Sus scrofa: one gene and its partner. The protein of the gene in region 1 interacts with the protein of each later gene in a biochemical or structural test. Links are inferred from orthologs where the notes say so. Each region holds a gene or a part of one and is shown on either strand. Other genes may lie near its edges.

Region 1 (6,941 bases):
GCTCGTGTTAAAGAAATTTTAGGTAAGCATAGTGATGTGCAAATACTAGGCACTCAACAGATCAACGTCAAAGTAACTCACTTTATAGGTCAATACAGAATCAAGGTTTTACAGGTTTTTGTTTTTTTTGTTTTTTTTTTTTTTTGTCTTTTTAGGGCCTCACTTGAAGCACATGGAGGTTCCCGGGATAGGGGTCTAATCAGAGCTATAGCCGCCAGTCTACGCCAGAGCCACAGCAACACCAGATCCGAGCCGCATCTGCAACCTACATACAGCTCACGGCAACGCTGGATCCTTAACCCACTGAGCAAGGCCAGGGATCGAACCTGCAACCTCATGGTTCCTAGCCAGATTCATTAACCACTGCGCCACCACAGGAACTCTGAGTTGTAGTTCTTTAAATACATTGTGTATTAATCTCTTATCAGGTATATGATTTGCATTATTTTCTTCTAGTTCTTATTTTGTGTTAAAGAAATTTTAGGTAAGCATAGTGATGTGTAAATACTAGGCACTCAATAGATCAATGTCAAATTAATTCACTTTATAGGTCAATACAGAATCAAGGTTTGTCAGGGTTTTTTGTCATCTTTTTAGGGCCGCACTTGAAGCATATGGAGGTTCCCAGGATAGGGGTCAAATTGGAGCTATAGCTGCTGGCCTATGCCACAGCCACAGTAACGCCAGATCCAAGCTGGTCTGTGACCTACACCACCACTCACAGCAATGCCGGATCCTTAACCCACTGAGTGAGGCCAGAGATTGAACCCACATCCTCATGGATACTAGTTGGGTTCATTACTGCTGAGCCATGATGGGAACTCCCAGACTAGGGGGTCGAATCGGAGCTATAGCTACTGGCCTACACCATGGCTCATGGCAACATTGGATCCTTAACCCACTGAGCCAGGCCAGGGATCAAACCTGCAACCTCATGGTTTCACTGCGCCACCACAGGAACTCCCATTATCAAGATTCTTAAAGGTACACTCATGTTCTAGAAATGAAACAGTGTTACACTTAACAAAGGTTAAATATGATGCCGGGATTTAGGTTCCAAAAAATTAAATAATTTTATACAATAAAGGGAGTACAATTAGTGCTAGCCACAAGGTTTTTTTTTTTTTTTTTTTTTTTTCCTTTTTTGCCACACAGGCAACATGTGGGAATTCCTGGGCCAGGGATTGAACCTACACTGCACAGCAGCAACCAGAGCCACTGCGGTGAGAACATAGGAGCCTCAACCTCCTAGGCCATTAGAGAACTCCCACAAGCTTTATTAAAAGCCATAAACCCGGCTCCTAAAAGAGGCAGCCTCTTTACAAAAAAAAAAAAAAAAAAAAAAAAAAAAAGAAAAAAATCAACAAACACTGTAATAAAAACATTTCACACATAAAAAATTAAGATTTTGGCATGAAACAATGTATTTTATATGTAGGAAGCTATGAAAGATGAGAAAAATATATATCCTGACCAATTACTGAAACAAAGATTTAAAAGGTTAGAGGGCTGGAGGCTAAATCAAAATGTGTGAGTTTGGGAGTTCCCGTCGTGGCGCAGTGGTTAACGAATCTGACTAGGAACCATGAGGTTGCGGGTTCGGTCCCTGCCCTTGCTCAGTGGGTTAACGATCTGGCGTTGCCGTGAGCTGTGGTGTAGGTTGCAGACGCGGCTCGGATCCCGCGTTGCTGTGGCTCTGGTGTAGGACACTGGCTACAGCTCCGATTGGACCCCTAGCCTGGGAACCTCCATATGCCTCCGGAGCGGCCCAAAGAAATAGCAAAAAGACAAAAAAGTAAATAAATAAATAAATGAAAAGAAAAAGAAAAATAGTTTAAAAAAAAAAAAGTGTGAGTTTGCTCGTATAAATACTCCTTTTGGCAATAAAGGAAAAAGGACAAATTATACCTGAATTGCCCTTACCTGGTTTTCAAAGCAAAGTGGTTATGACCAGGGATGGAACCTAGATCCCAGTGCTCACACCACCAAGCCACAGCGGGAACTCCAAACGAACAATCCTTCTATTTATTTTTTTATTTTTTAATTTTTCGGCTGCACCCACGGCATATGGAAGTTCCTGGGCCAGGAATCAAATCCCAGTGACTTAATGCCACAGTTCCAGCAGCTGTGCTGGGCCGGGCATCAAACTGGCAATGCCAGAGACAAGCCACATCATTAACCCACTGTGCCACATTGGGAACTCTGATATCTCATTTTAGATTTTACAATAATCTTTTTTTTTTTGTCTTTTTGCCTTTTTCTAGGGCTGTTCCCACGGCATATGGAGGGTCCCAGACTAGGGATCTAATTGGAGCTGTAGCCACCGACCTACGCCAGAGACACAGCAACACAGGATCCAAGCCGTGTCTGCAACCTACAACCACAGCTCGTGGCAATGCCGGATCCTTAACCCACTGAGCAAGGCCAGGGATCGAACCTGTAACCTCATGGTTCCTAGTTGGATTTGTTAACCACTGAACCACGATGGGAACTCCAGATTTTACAATAATCTTAAAGCATAAATATGAGAAACTGAAAAATCAGTTACTGGCATTTCTAATCAAATGCTTGAATTGTTTGCAAGGGATGACCCTGAAAGGTAGGTGATTTGCCTCAGGAGCTCAAGCTTCTATTGGAATCCTGTGCTGTGTGCTGGGAGAATTACACCGCAACCCAACGCCCCCAAAATATCCACATCCTAATTCCTGCAAACTGTGAACATATTAGGTCACATGGTAAAGGGGAATTAAGGTGGCTAATTCCCTGGTTTTGAGATGAGGAGATTATCCTGGCTTGTCCAAGTGGGCCCAATGAACTCACAAGGGTTCTTATAAGTGGAAGAAGGAAACAAAAGAAAGAATCAGGGAGATGGCAGCAAAAGAAGGACTCAACCAGCTATCGCTGGCTTTAAAGAAGGAGGCAAAGGGCCATGAGCCAAGGAATGCGGATGGCCTCTAGAAGGTGGAAAAGACAAGGAGATCGATGATTTCCTGATATTACCCCATAGAACTTTTAAGTCATCTGTTTTAAGCCGCTAAATTTGCGGGAATTTGTCATAGCAGCAAAAGGAAACTCCATGTACCTTTCCTGCCTTCTCTCTTCAGATCCCAGGTACTCTGTCACTCTGTCAAGAAGAGCAGGTACTCTTCCCCCTGCTCTCAAGGATTTGATATGACATTTATATCACAGTGTGTGTTGATGTAGCAGCCATACTTACATTTTAAGCCCTTGGTCTAAAGGAATCTAACTATAAAGACTGTATACTTTGGTAAAGGAAATTTCAGAATAAACAAGTAGGTAAGGAAGAACAATGTTTTTGAGTGATTACGATTTCCCCCAAATCACTTGAAGTTCAAAATCTGTTCCTCCAGCACATGGTCAACCTTGACCAAAAGGAAAGTTAGGATTTTTCGGTTTTAGCAGTCTAGACTTTTTTCTTCTCTTTACGATAACTCCTTTTTTTCTGAGCTAAAATGAGCTACATTGATTACTTAGAGACATTCTTTTTGTGTCAACACACACAAAAGAGATTTGGTTAACTTCTAAATTTAACTTAAAAAAATTAATTTGGCAATGTCCCTCATTAAGAAGCTAATTTTTATAAGGAAGTGGAGACAGGCATTGCCCATCGCTCTAGAAGGAGGAATTTCAGAATTCTGCCAATGGGGAAAGAAAGACGTGAACTTACCAGGTTTTTATCCTCTTATCTCTGCTAGTACACATTACAGCTGAGAGTAGTTCGGGATGACCATAATCTAGCATTGAACAGTTCAGAATTTTCCTCTACTGGGAGAACTCCACTGGAATTCTAATATTTCACAAAGCTTCCCTTTTCCTCCTGCGCTACGTGGATTATGCTTTTATTTTCTTTTCTCAGCAACTTTTCAAGCAGTGTCCTTGACGAAGGTTCCCGGTGTGACCTGCTCCTAAGAGTGGGTGTACAAAAGATGACCGTCTCTCCTACTGTAAAGCCCCGGGTTCCAAGTGAACGAAAATGAAACTCCTCTGTTCCAGACCTGGGCTTCAGCTATTCAGCTTTCCTCTCCTCCGTCACATCGCAGGTAGGGACAGCGCTGTGTCCCCGCGCAGACTAGGTCGCCGGGGAGGCGGCAGAGGGTAGGGCCTCCGGGGCTCGCGTCCGGCGACATCGAGGTGAGGTCCACAGGATGCTCTCGCGGGCCTCTGCTGGCGGCTGAGCTCGCCCGGACAGGTGACCGACACACAGAGGCCTGGAAAACCTTGATTACTCTCCAATTGATTGGCTTCCGGGAGCAGGCTCCGCGAAGCAGCTTCCGGCTTCCGGGCCGCGCCTTAGGCCACGCCCCAAACTTGGGCCTCCTCCCCACCCACCCTACTTCCTCCTCCCGGCCCCGCCCCTAAGCTCTGGCTCACCTCCATGCCCCGCCTCCCACTAGGCCCCGCCTCTCATGCCTCCCCTTCCCCACCCCGTTCTATTCAATTGTTGGATTGTCTGCGCCGCACTCCCGCCGGTGGCCGGCAGGGGGCGGGGTTCGAGCGTGGATTTCCCCCGGCGTCCCCGGGGAAGGGGCAGGCGCTGCGCGGCGCGGAGCCGGGCGGGCAGGCGACGCGAGGCCGCGTTGGGTCGCGCTCGGCGGGGAGGCAGCAGCGGCAGCATCAGCGCTGACGTGGGGCGACGTGGGACGGCGCCGGTCCCGGTGGGGCTCTTCGTCCCACCTCCTCGCGTCCGTAAGCAGTGACGAGGCCCGCTACGTAAATCGCTTCGCAGCGGGTAAGTGGAGCGCCGGCCGGCGGGGCCCGCGGAGCCTGAGGCGGAGGCGCTGGCGCCTGAGCGGGGGCGGGGCGGGTAGCGCGGGCGGTCCCCGCCGTTTGCCCCGCGCACCCGGCGGGCGCTTTCGGAGGGGCCAACGCTCCTGCTCCGAGGGAGGGGAGGCCGCGCAGGGCGGGCGGGCCCGCCAGGCGGCTCCCTCCGCTCCCCTCGCTCGCCCCAGTCGCCGCCTCCCGGTCCTCGCGGCCGGAGACCGAGCGAGCGGGATGCGGTCGCGGTGCTGCTGGAAGGCGCACGTCCCCCGCGCCCCCTTTGCGCCGGGACCGGCCGGCCTGGCGCGATCCCCGGAGCCGGAGCTGTGAGCGCCGCGCCTCCTCCGACGTCTTCCCAGCTGTCCCGAGTGTGAGCCGCTCACGCTCCCCGCACGGCCCGGGAAGCCGCTGCCGGCCCTGGGTTGAGCGATGCTGACCCTCGGGACCAGCCTCGGTCCCCACCCGGTATCCGGAGGCTCACACCAGTGGTTTCCGAACTCCTCTGCCTTTCCTGCCTAATTCGCCCGGCTGCAGCCGCCCTCCCTAGAAAAAAATACTAACCGAGATGCGCAGGGCCAGAGGTCCCCGATGTGAAGGTCGTGTTAGATTACTTTAATAACTCGTGCTCTGTAGTCTTTCCCTGGGGGTACCACCACATTTTTCTCCTAGTCTTGATCCTCCTTTTGGATAACACGCTGCTTTCCCTTCATAAGTCACAGTCTTTGAATTTTTTAACTTCGGAACTTTTTCTCCCCCAAGAAAGGCAAATTGCAAAAAATGTGTTTTGGCCAACTAATGCTAAGTAGTAAACACTGATGTTTAAAGAGCTGCTGATTGATCCAAAGACAACTTTTTAAAAGATATTTAAATGGTTTTGAACCTGGATGAGTATAAACACTGAACGCATTGTCATGTTAAGTGTTGGTAAAGACACAACAGTTTTGGTGCGTCGGTAAATAGTTCAGTGTAAGCACGTGCTTTGCCCAGTGACTTGCTGGTCCACCTGGGGTCGTTTTGGTGAGTGTGAAGCTGTAATTACACGTGTGTTTTCTGTACATATTTTGTAAGAGTGAGTGAATAAAATTTTTTGAATGTGTAAACACAGAGGAGCTCTTTAGTCTTTTTGTCTTCGCATTATCTCAGAAGGTTAATGAAGTGGTGAATTCAGCAAATTCCAGACTCCGTAGACTGCTTTTGTTTGCTACCGAGGCGAATCATTGCATGATTCAAATATGAAACTAATGTTTAGAATTATGGCCATTTCATGAAAAGTAGAAGCGTTTCACATTAGTCACATACATAAGGAAACCTGAGTGAATCTTTACCAGGATAGACGTGTATTCCTGATCCTGACTATTTTCTCCAACCTGGTATTCTCTACAAGTTAATATTGGGCCAGAAGAGTAAGCCGGGTTTATTGTGGAAGTGGATAATCTATTGGAAAGTGCTTAAATGCTGTGTCGCATTTAGATAGGCTTTAAAAATAAAACTGAACAATGCAAACACTTAACAGCTGAACCATTGATGTTTTGACATGAAGTCAACATTGGCCATTAAGGAGAGTTCCCGGGTGGCACAGCGGAAACGAATCCAACAAAGCACCATGAGGTTGCTGATTCGATCCCTGGTCTCGCTCAGCGGGTTAAAGATCCAGAATTGCCATGAGCTGTGGTATAGGTTGCAGACGCAGCTTGGATCCTGGTTGCTGTGGTTGTGGCCTAGGCCGGCAGCTGAAGCTCTGATTCGACCCCTAGCCTGGGAACCTCCATATGCCCAGGGTGTGGACTTAAAACAGTAAAAAAAAAAAAAAAAAATTGGTCATTAAGGAAATAAGCCTGAAATGTCTTTGAAATCTGTTAAGTATTTTTACTTTAATTCAACTGATGTTCAATTTTGAGAAGAGTTATTATTGTACAATGAATGCTCTCAGTATTATCAATACAAGTATATAGATAGTAAAAATACAGATTTCAGGGAAAGTGTTTCTCATCCATTTCATATGTAGGAATAAATATTTAAAATCATTTTGTCAATTTCTTTTTAAAGAACACATAAGGTGTATAAACTACTTTTTTTTTTTTTTGGCTGCACCCGCAGAATATGTAACTTCTCAGGGCAGGGATCTGAGCCACAGCTGTGGCAAAGCTGAATCCCTAACCCAC
Region 2 (6,015 bases), on another chromosome or scaffold:
CCAACTGTAAAACAACTCCCCACACACCCTATGATGATGATTGGGGCTGACCCTTCTCTTCTTCCGGTGTTTTGCTTCCAGCCTCCCTCTTCTACCTAATGGGTGCCTTCTTAGTCTTTTCCAACATAAGGGACTTTCCACAATAGGTATTTGTAGAAACCTCTTCTCAAGACTGAAGTGGTTCATAAATTCTCCAATGAGCAGGTCAATATTACCTAGTTAACCCCTTTTCCGACTGCCCAGAGCTTTCTGCCATTTAATAATCAAACAATTTGAAAAGTGTTTAATGCAGTATTTCTGTTACCTCATCAGGAAGTGTGTATGTTTGTTAAAGGAGTGGCCCTATTAGAGCCTATATATTGTTCCAGTAACCTATCTGGACCTAACAGGACCTATCTGAACACAAAGCAAGTACCTAATAAATACCTGACCTAAAAACTACTGTAAAAAGATATTTTTATATTACAGGGGTTTCAAATTCAAATTCATTTACTTATAGAAGTCAGACAGGCAATTATTTTATTTATCCTTTTTATAGTCATATCTGTGGCATATGGAAGTTCCCAGACTAGGGGTTGGATTGGAGCTGTAGATGAGACCTATGGCACAGCCACAGCAATACAGGATCTTAACTCAAGTGAGTGAGCGAGGCCAAGAATCAAACCCACATCCTCACAGAGACAACATCAGGTTCTTAACCTACTGAGCCACTGTGGGAACTCCCAGATAGGCAAGTTAAATGAACTCAGAGTTTATTTTTTTGTAAATGTAGGAAAACTCATTACCACAAAGAATATGCTTGCCCTTTTCTCAAAACACAGAACCTTCTGGTGGCCTTACTTTTTCTCTTGCTTTTGATAGACGTATTTCTCTACTGTACAAAAAATAGCAGAGTAGCATAGTAATAAATGACAACTGAAAAGCAACCCAGATATTGGCATACTATGGACCAGCACATTGGAAAACAAGTCCAACATAAGCCACTACTTGGTTCCAGCCTAATTCAATAAATTCTAATTTTTCAAACAAATCCAGAAGCTATATTTTTACACAAAATCTGTTATAATGTTGACACAAAACATGAAACACATCTGCAGACCATATGTTTACTGACTGACAGTTTACTACTCCAAGGTATTATTTCTAAAAATATTAAATTTTATACTATTTTGTAGGGTGGAGACAATATACATAGGGAGAAATAATGTTGTCCCTTACTCAGTATTTTGTTTCTTCAGTGTCACAAAAATATGCCCATAATTTCAGTTTCCATTTATAGGAATGTATCTTTTTTATGTAACCCTTCACAACACTAAAACAATGCATTCAACCAAACTAATGGTGGGAAATTCATAGTTCTAGAGCATTTTTAATCTATCATTACTTCAAAGATCTATTTTATGGCATTCTGAATTTCCTGCTGAAGGGTATGGATATTTTAATTTGCAGGATTAAAAAATTGTAAATATTTCACTACATATTTACTCAATAATTTCTGAGGGAAGTTACTTTGATATTATTTGCCAATGGGGAACGGGTATTAAGATATTAACTTTAAAGCTTTTGCTATTGTAGCTGATGCTTTGCTTTCCTATTTTTAAAATCATGACTGCCTTTTCTTATATAGAAAAATGCCAGGAAAGGCAGGAAAAAAGCAAAATTTTAGCTTCTAGCTATAGAAATTAGTCTAAATTTAGCTATAATGCTCTGCTACCAAGGAATCAAAAACATTTCATATACCAGCACAGATCTGATAATGTTGCTCTCTTATCTTCTCTATCTGCCTCCCCCCCACTTCCCACATAATTAAATAAGAACTTCTGTTAAGAAGTTTAAATTCTTTTTTTTTTTTTTTTTTTGTCTTTTTAGGGCCACACCCACAGCACATGGAAGTTCTCAGATTGGGGGTGAACTGGAGCTGTAGCTGCCGGCCTACACCACAGCCACAGCAATGCTAGATCCCCAACCCACTTAGCGGAACCAGGGATCAAACCAGTGACCTCATGGATACTAGTCAGGTTTGTTACCACTGAGCCACAACAGGAACTTTGAGGAAGTTTAAATTCTTTATGGTAATGCAACATAGATGTATGTTCTCAATAGTTTTAAGAATTTTATTTTCATGGTAAAACATTACATTATACTTACAAGCACCATCTTCATCATAGTTACTAAGATCGGCGTGGACAGTTCTGCTGAATTCTAATACATTGTACCACTGATCTTTGTTCATAACACGATACTTTGATTGCTGTACAGAACAAACATTTATTAGGACTTGACTTCAATAAATGTAATTATAACACCTTTTTGGTGATTTATCTCTCCCCATTTATTCCTCTTTTATTTATTTGTGTTACTAAGAAAATCCTCAGGAGCATTCAGATGTTAACATTATCAAAGTTATTTTTCCCTTTATTTTTCTTTCATTCCTGAGAAATAAAAAGAGCATCAAGGGCACTAATAGCAAGGGTAAAACTTAATAAATTTTTATCAATGCATATGCTTGTATAATCACCAATGAGATAAAAAATATATAACATTTCTTATATCCAGTAAGTTCCCTCCTTCTGCTTCTCATTAAATCATTTCTTCGCACAAAAATTAGTGTTAAGCCTCATTTGGAAGGTGGCATCTTTGGAGGCAATGAAAAGGGTTCAAATCCTAGTTCTGCTACTTAGCCCTTGGAAAGTTATGTAACAACAGAACATACTTCCTCACTGGCTAAGAGGGAATAAAACACAATTCAAATGCTGCTGGTCAAACACTCTTCACATAACACTGCCTGAAAACACTTAGTTCTCTCAGCTCCTTTTAGAGGAGAATATTTAAAATTCAGTCGTATTTATTTCTGCCCCAACTTCTAATATGAGGAAAATTGACAAAAAAATACAACAAAGAGTCTACTTTATTAGGCTTAAAGACATAAAGTGTACACAAAACCCATTCACATAAAACCTTTTCATACCACTGTCTCTTATCACAAGCTTTAAATAAAACTACTCTGGGGAACCTGCTATAATAATCAGCTTTATGAGAAATTACTTTAGAAGCAAAAGCATCCATATTCAAGAAATGATGAGAAGTACCAAAAAATTTAAAATTGAAAAGTCACGGAAGCAGAAAACCAAAGAAAGCAATGGAAAAAAGGACAGTATCTTCTTCAAAAGCACTTCTATCATAGCACTTCAGGATCTTAGGTGCTGTGATAAACCCTCTAAAAGAATATTTTCTTGATAAATTCAGCATACATTTCTCAGTAATCACTATATTTAAGTACAGTCTCATATTTGTGGACATAAAATATTAAAAGCTTTATTCTAATTCTTTAGCTTGAGCCCAAGTTTTAATATTATTATCAGTTTTCTTATGTTGATTTAGCCTAAAACCCTGTGTAACAGAAAGTGATTGAGAAGCTTGAGATTTGTGCACTGGCATCAATTCTCTTCCGCAAAAACCAAAGCAGCTAATTTTACATAAAGAACATCTATGCTAAAATATTTCTTGAAATTTTCATCATTTTTTTGGGGGGGGGAGTGGGTGGGTTGGAGGTACAAGGCATGGAATAAAAATAATTTATGTACAGAATATATTAATGAACATGAACTCACATCTAAAAATGACAGCAGAGGAGTTCTCAAGAGGCTCAGCGGGTTACGAACCTGACTAATATCCACGAGGATGCAGGTTCAATCCCTGGCCTCACTCAGTGGGTTAAGGATCTGGCATTGCTGTGAGCTATGGCGTAGGTCACAGACATGGCTTGGATCTCCCACTGTTGTGGCTTTGGAGTAGGCTAGCAGCTGTAGCTCTGATTCGACTCAGCCTGGGAACTTTCATATGCAGTGGGTGTGGCCCTAAAAAGCAAAAATAAAATAAAATAAAAATTACAGCAAATATGTACCCATTTTAACAAATTTTCAACAATTTAAGCAGATTTTTTTAAAAAGCACAATACTAAAAAATCTACTTGTTCCCTTCCCTTGTGGTGCAGTGGGTTAAGGATCTGGCATTGTCAGTACAGTAGCGCAGGTTGCTTAGACCCCCTAGCCTGGGAACTTCCACAAGTCATGGGTGATGAGGAAAAAAAAAAAAAAAAAAACCAACAACAACAATAAAACAATAAAACCACGACCAAAACAAAAACTACTTTTTTTTTTCTTCAGTTAAAGGTATATTTCCAATCAGATTAAGGTTTAAAATATTATTTTCAAAGTAAAAATACATACCTCCAGGTACTGGTAAAATACTGAAAACAGTGGCCATGTCCTCCCAAGCAGAAGAGCTAACATAGACTTAGCAGTATCAATATCAAGGCTTCTCTGATCTTTGTCCTAAAATATAAGTTAAAAAAATTTTCTAAATGTGGTCTCAAGTCTAAAAAAATACATTAAAGCTGCAAACACTGAAACTCCACCTACCCTTGCAAAATCAAAGGCATATCTGTAGATATTCTTAAATGAAGAAATGTCATTCAACTGTGAGCGCAGAAAGTCAAATTTGTTCTGTAACTTTTCTGTGCAGTCACATCTTAAATTAAAAAAAAATCAAACATTATATAATTAAGAAAATTAAATAAAAGCATCTTTGGGGGTTAGAAATAATGCAATTAAAGAAAAAAGTGAGCACATCTATGAAATTAATTGAAGTTTAAAATTCTCTGATTCACAAATTTAGAATAACAAACTTGTTGACTTGATCTACCAATGCAATAAAAAAAGGAAAAGGGGAAAAAAGAGTCAAAGTTCACTCCGATAACCTTTCTTTTAAAAAAAAAAAATACAACTCAATCAAAAAACTCCAATAAAGTCACAAATATTTGATGAAAAATTTCAGTTTATTAAAATATGCTTTCAACACAAATAAAGTAAGATGGCAGAACAAAGTTAATCAGCTGTCTGACACAAATGTCACTGGAAAGTTCTTGGGCACCAGCTTGGCAAAAGAGATTAGCCATGATTGGTTTTAAAATTTTAGCATATAACCCAGAGGAAAATAAATTTCATTAGTGATTCAGTCATAAATTCAAATACCTACATTTTTAGTAAACCAAAAAACCCACAATAAATCAGTGACAGAATCTAACTTCACATGAGGTACATATACAAAAGAAGGCAAACAAGTTATATATGTTATTTCTAAAGACATTAAATTTAAGAAGCTAAAGAGATGGAATGCTCAAAAATATTTACTGTTTTTCTGACTTTCTCTGGGTTGATATAGTACACTATTTAGCAAGAAGCAAGGCAAACAAAACCTTTCAAAATTGGCACACATCTCCAGTCTCATCTCTTGCCAGGTCCCAATATCCTTAAAATATAACTGTGATTTATATTTATTTCACTTACCATTCCTAAATGCCATAGTTACGCTTTAGCACACATTATTTTACCTACTTGATATGCTATTCCTTCTAACATTTTGACAAAATACTACTCTTCAAAACCTAAATCACATTTAGCCCTCTTTGAGATCAATCCAACGCCCTTCAATAAAATTGTGTCTTGTCTACAGTAAACAACAGTATTCCACTCAAAACTGAATTTCGGCACTCATTACGTAGACACCTAGCATTCTCAGATTTAACCAAGACTTTCACTATTATAAATCAACAATGTGATGTGCAGTAATTTATAATTTTATTAAGGTGTAAATATTTTCAATAAATTTCTAATGTTGTTTAGGCATTCTTAGAATAAACCAAACTAAATCATGTTAGCTGTTTTATACATTATTAGGTATTTTGCTATGTTCATAAGTGAGACTGGCTTGTAAATTTTATACTTTGCTAGTTTTGTAAGAAACTTATAGCATAAGCCTCAAAAAAAAAAAAATAAGAAATGAGAACTACTACCTTGTTTTCTGAAAAGTTTACTAAACATTGGAATTAGGATTTGTCCAAACTCAATAGCAGAAACCTAGGCCTTTTCATTGAGGAAAAGAAAACCTTCTAACTACTAAATCAGCATTTTTAATGGCTTATTTTAAGGCCGTTCAGATTTTCCATTTCTTTTT

Evidence for each region. The genes of interacting proteins can lie anywhere in the genome.
Region 2: of the proteins of CUL2 (region 1) and DCUN1D5, one has a biochemical effect on the other in vitro, tested with the Homo sapiens proteins (2 studies listed by BioGRID, with this or other methods). The link is inferred for Sus scrofa from reciprocal best matches to the Homo sapiens genes CUL2 and DCUN1D5.

Annotation. Positions count from the first base shown.
Region 1 is NC_010452.4:57,825,121-57,832,061, forward strand, and holds the start of CUL2 (cullin-2), read right to left. Parts: upstream 4,269-6,941; 5' UTR 3,689-4,268; intron 1-3,688.
Region 2 is NC_010451.4:33,679,205-33,685,219, forward strand, and holds the end of DCUN1D5 (DCN1-like protein 5), read right to left. Parts: intron 4,531-6,015; coding exon 4,422-4,530; intron 4,335-4,421; coding exon 4,230-4,334; intron 2,252-4,229; coding exon 2,024-2,251; 3' UTR 1,863-2,023; downstream 1-1,862. UniProt on the Homo sapiens protein: Contributes to the neddylation of all cullins by transferring NEDD8 from N-terminally acetylated NEDD8-conjugating E2s enzyme to different cullin C-terminal domain-RBX complexes which is necessary for the activation of cullin-RING E3 ubiquitin ligases (CRLs).